Bombyx mori: one gene and its partner. The protein of the gene in region 2 purifies or fractionates together with the protein of the main gene of each other region. This does not show direct contact. Links are inferred from orthologs where the notes say so. Each region holds a gene or a part of one and is shown on either strand. Other genes may lie near its edges.

What was found.
Region 1: the proteins of DNA-directed RNA polymerase II subunit Rpb4 (region 2) and mRNA-capping enzyme purify together in Homo sapiens (affinity purification with mass spectrometry; 3 studies listed by BioGRID and IntAct, with this or other methods). This does not show direct contact. The link is inferred for Bombyx mori from reciprocal best matches to the Homo sapiens genes POLR2D and RNGTT.

What each region holds. Positions count from the first base shown.
Region 1 is NC_085110.1:3,886,292-3,890,906, forward strand, and holds the start of mRNA-capping enzyme, read right to left. Parts: upstream 2,824-4,615; 5' UTR 2,517-2,823; coding exon 2,331-2,516; intron 2,107-2,330; coding exon 1,970-2,106; intron 1,558-1,969; coding exon 1,390-1,557; intron 868-1,389; coding exon 764-867; intron 369-763; coding exon 311-368; intron 1-310.
Region 2 is NC_085114.1:9,606,984-9,611,543, reverse strand, and holds the start of DNA-directed RNA polymerase II subunit Rpb4, read right to left. Parts: upstream 2,802-4,560; 5' UTR 2,692-2,801; exon of another isoform or gene 2,683-2,691; intron 1,885-2,682; 5' UTR 1,518-1,884; intron 1-1,517. Other genes in the region: uncharacterized protein LOC119628842, read left to right, coding at 3,138-3,186, 3,379-3,618, 3,796-3,954. UniProt on the Homo sapiens protein: Core component of RNA polymerase II (Pol II), a DNA-dependent RNA polymerase which synthesizes mRNA precursors and many functional non-coding RNAs using the four ribonucleoside triphosphates as substrates.

The DNA of each region.
Region 1 (4,615 bases), on a different chromosome or scaffold from region 2:
AAAGAGTGAGACCATACCGCTAACTTCATAACACGGAAGTAGCTCGTGAGCTCTATTAGTCATCTATAGCAATTAAGAAGACCTATTAGTAACTGGCTTCAGCAGTAAGTACCCTACCCAGTTTTATGAGGCAATGGAATGTGTTCGTACCAAGAGTTACTACCTGAAAGTTCAAGTACGACCAATGACCGACGTGAACAATTTTAACAAACAGTTATTATTCTTGTATACCAATCACAGCGGAATATGGTCAGGTTTGACTAGATATTAATAAATATAAAAATTTACCTAAGGAATAACAAGAACTTACTCTGATGTATCCTGTGTAGCACTCGGGTTGTCATCATCAGATTCTTCTTCTTCTATTTCTGTAATTTGAGATTATTAATTCCATGGTTAATTGCACAATGGATCAATTTATAAGATATATTCATATTGGCTGACACAATGCTAATTGTTAATTGGCAATCACAGTGAAGCAGTTGCGTTTAGTGATAGATGGGACAATGATTATACAATACATAAGAGACAGTCTATGGTTTTCTGAAAGCACTTTACACATCATTGACCAGCAATATTACCTAAAAATTTACATCATGTCACCGGCTATTATTTCTTAATTGGATGTGGAAGTAATAAAATGTAAGCATTAGTAATTTTTTTATATACAGCAGTAGTCAACAATGTGTTGACCACATGAACAATGAAATTGATCTAATTGAGATTGTCTGGCCTATTTCACCTACGTTGTTTTTGTGCTTACCATTGCACCAGTCAGGTCTTGCAGGAGCCATTGGAGTATCTTCAACATCTCCATATAGTTTGAACAATTCAGTGAGGTAATCTTGCTTGTATATTCCTGGAGGTCTGCAAATCAAACAAAGCCAAATTTTTTTAGCCCAAGCAAACAATAACCTGAATACCACTACTTTGACACTGACTTGAAAATTAAATACGATTACATTGATACAAGTTGTGTGAACTTTAAGCTGTATTTCTTTTTACTATCATTTTAAGCAGACATGCACACGGGCTTCTCAATGGCCATGATATTTTTTTTATATTTTTACTTGAAAACAAAGAGATTTAAACATAAATACAGCACAGCAAACTGAATAATCCAGGGGCAGGTACTTAGCAGTAACAGCAGTGGTGTTTGTGGGCTTTTCTAACCACTTAACACCTAGTGGGTCATATGCTCATTCACAGGCTACTCAATCAAAAAAAACATAGTTCTTATTTTCTCAATTTAGAGCCAAAGGAAATGCAAGCTTATTCCTATTAATTTTGTGATGTAATTTGAGAATGGTTAATGAAAATTTACACACATTAATTTTATTTTCAAAACACATACATTTCATTGAAAGCAAGACCATAAAATATATTTACCTTTTTGTATTAAACTCTTTTAAGGCAGCTTCAATACTACAGTCCATTTCTTGAACCATGAAAGACACAATCAAGAAACCGGTTCTGTTAAATCCATGTGTGCAGTGAACAGCTATGAGCTCAAGAGGTTTTTTCTTCATAAAGTTCTTGACAGTGTGTATGAAGACCCTGAATCCAATAAGGCGTTTTAACTTCATTGTCTGGTTTCAAACACTAACAAAATAAGACTAATTTTTATTAATCAACACACTGTATTCCTCTTTTCTAACACAAGTACCAATTACATGAAGCATGGCATTAAACCAGTAACAGGGATATTTTTTTTAAATCTATTTTTTTGCATTTAGTTATTTTGATTCTTTAAACATCACATCATAACACCATTATATGTCAATGATTATATGAAACACAACAAACAAACTTGTAAATATATTTTTCACTTTGTAATTCACATCCAATCTGTTAACCAAATGTCTATAATTTTTCATAATGAATACTTATTGTATTTATTATTCACATTGACTGAAATGTATAATTTATAATTATTGTATATTATAAATATTATAACACTGCATCAAACCTTATTTGGTCTTCACTCGGTGCCTCTCCGTGACCTTTGCATTGTATTTTCATATATTTACAGTCCATTTCCTCTATCTCCCCTTTATCGTAAAATCTGCTTGTATTTGTGAGATCAATCCATAAACCTATTTTTTTCTAAAAGAAAACAATTTTTTTTTCTAGACGATATGAAAAATGTTACCGCATGCTCAAAAGTTGCGTGTACAAAATTGTAAATGAATTTTATGAGATACAATGACTCGTATATATTCGTATATTTTTGAGTCTCAAATTTAATTTATGATATTATTGTTATTTTTATGCAAATATAAAATTAACTAGTCTTAATTGTTATATTAACTTGAGTAATCTCTTTTTACCTTAATACTTTTAGAGAAGTCGAAAATCATTTTAGGCGTAAAACGACACTTTTCGGGCACTTTTTCATTGAATTTTGTGCCCAATGGTGTTTTAAAGGCTAAAAACGATTGGGCTATTAAAGATGTACACTTTCTCGGGCAATTCAACCACCTACTGGGCAGTGGACCTGGATCACTTTTCGACATTTTCAGCAGAGCTACAAGCCTAGTTAAATAATACGATTCAACTTATACACAATCCAAAAGAATACAAAAATGTGTCTCTGGCGTTTTGCTTTTGAGTTATCTTCACAAACTATAATAACAGTGTATCGTCCTAGTAGTCAAATCTCAGAAATTTTTCTTGAATTTTAATTCAATAAACAAATATCTGTAGTACTCTCGTGTTCTTTAGCTTAATGTTTTTTTTATTAAATGTATGTTAATCTATGTTGTCGACAACCTTAAATCCTGTGTCAGTCTATGATTCTGTGCTGTTGACAGTGACAAGACAAGCACAGGCTAGCAAGAAAAAAGCATTAAAACCATAGACCTAGGTTTCCTACTTCAGTGATTAAAACCTATGATACTACGGAGGGTAGGGCTCACTGAATTTGGCCTCCTTTTTTTTATTTTCGGATTGTTTTTATTTTTAATTATTTGTTCGTCGTTTGTAAAAATTGTTTGTTCGTCTTTTATTAATTTATAATTAATTAAACAAATGATCACCCTTAAGTGGGCCCCTCTTACTAGATATCTTTATTTTTATCTTTAACAAATAATTAAATATAAAAAAAATCGGAAAAAAAATGGGTGCCAAATTCATTGAGCTGGAGGGTAGAGGTAAGGAGAACCGTCTCATATCCATATGGGAGAACTTTCAAAAAAGTGTCCCACTTTCACCACTAAATAACAGTTCAAAAATCCTCGAGAATGGCGCTAGCATAGGCACAGGGTATGATATGAATTGAGCAGTTGTTAACTCATTGAAGTATGCCGAGTTTGAAAATTTAATATATTTAATGACTAGAGTAATTAGTGACAGTGTAATATACAAGACCTCACATGTTTACGTAGTCCAAACTAATTTCAATAATATAACTTAACAATTTTACTGTCGATTACTGTTACTTCGATTGCATTTTCTTAGCAGCTTTAAATAAAATACTTTTTGTGATTTTGTGTTGCTTACAGTTCTTTCACCCTTTCTTATTTCTCTATCTTATTCTAATAACTTTTAGCGCCTTTTTTTAAATTTACCTCGGTGCTAATGTAGTGCCACCCTTATCTAACAGATTTTAACGAATACTTTTTCACATAGAGACGGTTCTACTTACCTCTACCCTCCATATTTTTTTTAATGAAATACGTACTCAACAAATGTTCATGATTGACTTCCACGGTGAAGGAATAACATCGTGTAATAAAAATCAAACCCGCAAAATTATAATTTGCGTAATCACTGGTGGTAGGACCTCTTGGGAGTCCGCGCGGGTAGGTACCACCGCCCTGCCTATTTCTGCCGTGAAGCAGTAATGCGTTTCGGTTTGAAGGGTGGGGCAGCCGTTGTAACTATACTGAGACCTTACAACTTATATCTCAAGGTGGGTGGCGCATTTACGTTGTAGATGTCTATGGGCTCCAGTAACCACTTAATATCAGGTGGGCTGTGAGCTCGTCCACCCATCTAAGCAATAAAAAAAAATATATATATAATATGATTCATAATAGGACTTGTAATTAGTAATTACTTAGTATTAATAATTAAATAAGTAATTAATTACATTCGCGCACTCAATGATACACACATTTTTTTTTATGAGAGCGATGGGTCCGGTAGAGATATATTATATTGAATCTGGACGAGACTCATGAATCAGAGTCCTTAAAGTAGGTTTACTTGTGGCACAATGGCGATGGAGAATTCACTAACTAGAAAATATAATTATAAAAAAAATAATATAAATACAACTTCGTTCTTCGTGTTCCCGCCAAAAACTTCAACCACAGACTACTGAGAGCCCAGGTAGCATAGCTATTTTTTTTTATTTTTTTTCTCCCATTTCTTGGCCTGCACGGTTTGTGCGTCAGCCACGCAAGTAGCATAGCTTTGGAAAAGAACGTAAAAAGGTTGAGAAAATCGTTTTGACATTTGACACTCGATAGTTGTTTTGTAGAGTTGTAGCGCTTGAAAGTTTAGGTAAATACCTAGCAACTAGAGTACCAACAGAGAAAATCTTGCTTTCTCTTTTTAATTACTTAAAATACACTAGTTTGAGAGAGATGTAGTAACGAAGTAATTTTAT
Region 2 (4,560 bases):
CGACAAACCCGTGCGTGTTTCAAGGCAGTACTGCCTCCTAATGAACACGGAAATGGAAATACGCTACCCGGTCGAGGGGGGTAACGGACCGGGTTATGTCGGACTCCGGCGCCTCCTGGCCTGGCCTCCTGAGAGGAAGAAGGGGAGAAGAGAAGGGCCGAGGTCCTTCACCTGCCCCAATTTCTCATAGGAGACTACGCCTTGAAAAAGGCGCGCGAAGCACTTACCCCGCAGAACGACTACCGACTAAACCCCATCGAGCTCCACCACACCGACTACACGAAACTTACGGTACCGCGATGCGCGCCGAAAGTCTCGCCTTAGGCGGTACCCGTACTAATGTTAAGACGGGATTTCATCCCCGGGAAAATCCCGTAGTCGTCGTGGCCTAACGGATAAGACGTCCGGTGCATTCGTGTTGAGCGATGCATCGGTGTTCGAATCCCGCAGGCGGGTACCAATTTTTCTAATGAAATACGTACTCAACAAATGTTCACGATTGATTTCCACGGTGAAGGAATAACATCGTGTAATAAAAATGAAACCCGCAAAATTATAATTTGCGTAATTACTGGTGGTAGGACCTCTTGTGAGTCCGCACGGGTAGGTACCACCACCCTGCCTATTTCTGCCGTGAAGCAGTAATGCGTTTCGGTTTGAAGGGTGGGGCAGCCGTTGTAACTATAATTGAGACCTTAGAACTTATATCTCAAGATGGGTGGCGCATTTACGTTGTAGATGTCTATGGGCTCCAGTAACCACTTAACACCAGGTGGGCTGTGAGCTCGTCCACTCATCTAAAAAATCTGTCTCTGTAATAAATTAACTTTTTAAACAAGATTTAAATATAAAACAGTAAAATTGCTCGTGTTTTGGATATAAAACTGCAAAAATATTCGTAAAATATCGAAAACCGAATCAGAGCACATCACTTTCCACCTGGTCTTGTCTGCCCTACCCCTAGAGTGTATATAAAAAACCGGAGGCGCGGAGGGAGAGCAGTCCTCGCCAATATTAGTTAGTATTTAAAGTATTAAGTACATTTTGGCAAAACTAGCTTCACATATCATTAATATTAATAAATTCAGTTGTCAGTCCTAAGCCTGAGAAAGCATGAAGGATTGTTTTCATTTAAAAAAATGTATTAAAACCATTTCATATGTTATAACTGTTCCTATAAGTGGACATATTCTATTTAAAACATTATTAAACCTGTTGCAAAACAAAACGCTGTTATATTGGAACAGGCTACTGGAACTGTTCTTTCGCTGGAACAGGAACAGGTGGAACAGGTCTCTAATTTCACCTGTTACAGACCATCCCTAGTTTGGACAGGCAAAGGGAGATTAGTCGATTTAGCAAAGGATTCTGTAATGGGAACTATCACGGAAAAAAGATTGCTCCAAAATCGCGAACAGTAGTTGGCTTATGTAAATTTTAACACCACGTTGCATGATTGAAAAATAATACCCACTAGATAAATTTTCCATTCTTACTTCTCAAATGAAAATAATTACCTGTGTCGAAACTATTCCAGCCTTCACACTTACACAATTATCACCTGATCAACTTTGACTACCGTGGCCCCGGCACATCTTACGTTCTTCGATAGTCTACCTACCTACTACTTCGATAGTATACTTAAGTGTCAATAAATTCCCACTATTTTACTGGAACATCTTTAATTTATTTCATCTTAACACGTTTCATTCCATTTAGTTTCATTAAATTTCATCCAGAGCATCCATTAGTCACGTCCACTGAACTCTCAGTTAATAATCCTTGTTTTACTGAGACGATTTTATTTCATCCCATTGAGGGAGTCCGTATAAAGTCCCTTCTTTATTTCGCGGGAAAATCGTGTTTTATGTAATTAACACCACACTTGAAACAATAGGAGTTTTATTGTTGCAGCGGCTTATACAGTTCTAAGTTATACCATTTTTTTTTTTCGTCCTTTAAATATTCAGCGGTAAAAAAAATTTTTTTGGGTATTTTATGTCCAGCTCAACTAAGACCTTTAGGTCATGTCTTATTTTAATTCATATTCTTAATTTTATGAAAAATTATATAATGGAAAGAAGTGAAATGCAATGAAGATGATTAATTTGAGACAATAATCAAGTAAGATGAAATTAAATATAGTGAGATGAGATGATATGGGATGAAATATAATCTCAGTAAAATGGTGGTCATTTAATGAAAGGACATGGGCCATTTTCGGCCCAGCTACTCGTGCCCTCAAGGACATTAATAAAATATCTATAGAAAAAAACATTTCATTTTTACATACTTATTATAAAATTTAAGGGTATTTTAATGGTGGGATAATCAAAAGCATAAATAAAAAGAAATACTTAAGCATGATTAAGCTACATTGATAATATTGAAGGAGCTGCCATGGGTAAAATATATTTATATTTTAAATAATTCATATTAAATCTTCTTAAAGAAAACAATGTATTACAAAAAACTAGCAAAATATATTAACATATTTAATCGATAAATATAAATAATAGATAAGCTGATGATGATGTTCGTTTAGTGGGGCGTGCAATGTATGGTCCATGTCCTTTTTTCAGTGGACTTTTTGGAGGATTCCGGGGAAGTTATGTTCAGCGGCTTTGTTGCATTTTCCCACATTTGTGAACTTTCACAGATATTAAACAGTTAATAAATCACCGTTATTACACATTTAAACCTGAAGAAATACTAAATCGACAAAATAAAACAAATCACACAACTTCACTCCTCGCGTTCCCGCCAAAAAGTCCCGGACTCCCGGCGGTAAAAAGGTCCCGTGTCACAGACTATCTTCTTTTTCCCACCTCTTGTGCGATCCGGCTTACGCATCATAAAACATCCTAGTTTCATATAATGTCACTCAAATTTAAAGACTAACATTAGTTAAGTTCATCTCATTTAGCTTCATATGAATTCTGATTTATCAGATTAGAATTTCTACGTGCTCTTTACGTAGAAATTATATTATAGCTGGACTAGAAGGTCTTGTAACCGCTGGCTGTAAGCCAATTGCAATATTGAAAAATTAAGAAGAACAAAAACACTTCAATTTTATTATCTACTTAGAGACTCGGCTAAAGATATTTATTTCAAATTTAAGTAATAAGTTCGTAATGTCCAAAACTCCAATAAAAGAATTGGCTATCAACTTTGTACCTAGAGGTAATTATTTACATAGAGTTTGATTTATAAACTATTATGGTTACGTTGCTGGGTATCAATATCACTTATTATCAAGTGGGCTGTGAGTTTGTCTGCCCATCATCGATTAAGAAGAAAAAGTTTAACAAACAAAATTTCTGTTGTCCATGTCGATTGAAATAGTAAGTAATTTAATAAATGATATTATTTCAGAGATTACAACTCCAAATAAAGACCAACCAGGCTTATCAAAGACTGTATTTTCACATGTGTCTTCGTTTCATAGTTTGTTAATTGATTGGGTCAAACTAAAAGATAAAGGTTCTAAGTTTTGTAAAGGGATCTCATCAGTGAAACTGCACGAGTATAATGATGATTATTATCCGCACCTATTGAAGCCATTGACTGAGGGCTTAGTTGAAATTATAGATAGCTTTCAAAATATTATCGAGGGTAAGTAAAATGATGTATGTTAGTCTAACAATCAACTACAATATTGGAGTATGTGAGACTACTTTTAATAATGTTACAGTTTAAACAATTTAATGGAATGGAATATACATTAACTTTCTAATCAATCTAATTCTAATGCAAAACTGAACTATGTCATATTTAAATGTTTCATTTCAGGTATAAAAATACTAAAAAATCAACTGGATTCACTATCAAAATTGCAGTCGACTGACCAGCCAGTAATTTTGACATGGTCAGTAGGCCGAATTCATGCTTGTGTTAAAAATACATATGAATCACTCTTAAAGGAGTACAAACTAAAAAAAATTGTGACAGGTGAAAATTATTATTATTTATTGAAACATACTGGTGGTAAGACCTCTTGTGAATCCGCACGGGTAGGTACCACCACCCTGCCTATTTTAGACGTGAAGTAGTAATGCATTTCAGTTTGAAGGGTGGGGAACCTGTTTTAATTATACTTGAGGCATTAGAACTTATATCTCGAGGTGGGTGGCGCATTTACGCTGTAGATGTCTATGGGCTCCAGTAACCACTTAACAACAGGTGGGCTGTGAGCTCGTCCACCCATCTAAGCAATGAATAAAAACAACATGCCCGTGATTACATTAGAATTCTAAGACAAGTATTCCCTTTTTTAAAACCATTCAATTCTATGCAGGCCTCCAAAATAATTAATAAACAAAATAAATAATAATAATTAATAGAAAATTTTTGGGATACAAAACATAATTTTCAGAAAATATCCGGCTTTATTTGCTACAGAATAGATTTCACATACTGCTTCCTGACAACTCTGTGATAACTCAATAATTTACATTTTTATCTTATTGGTAATTTAAGGTAAACATAATTCATCATCATCATCATCTCAGCCTGTCCATTGTCCACTGCTGAACATAGGCCTCTCCAAGTGATCTC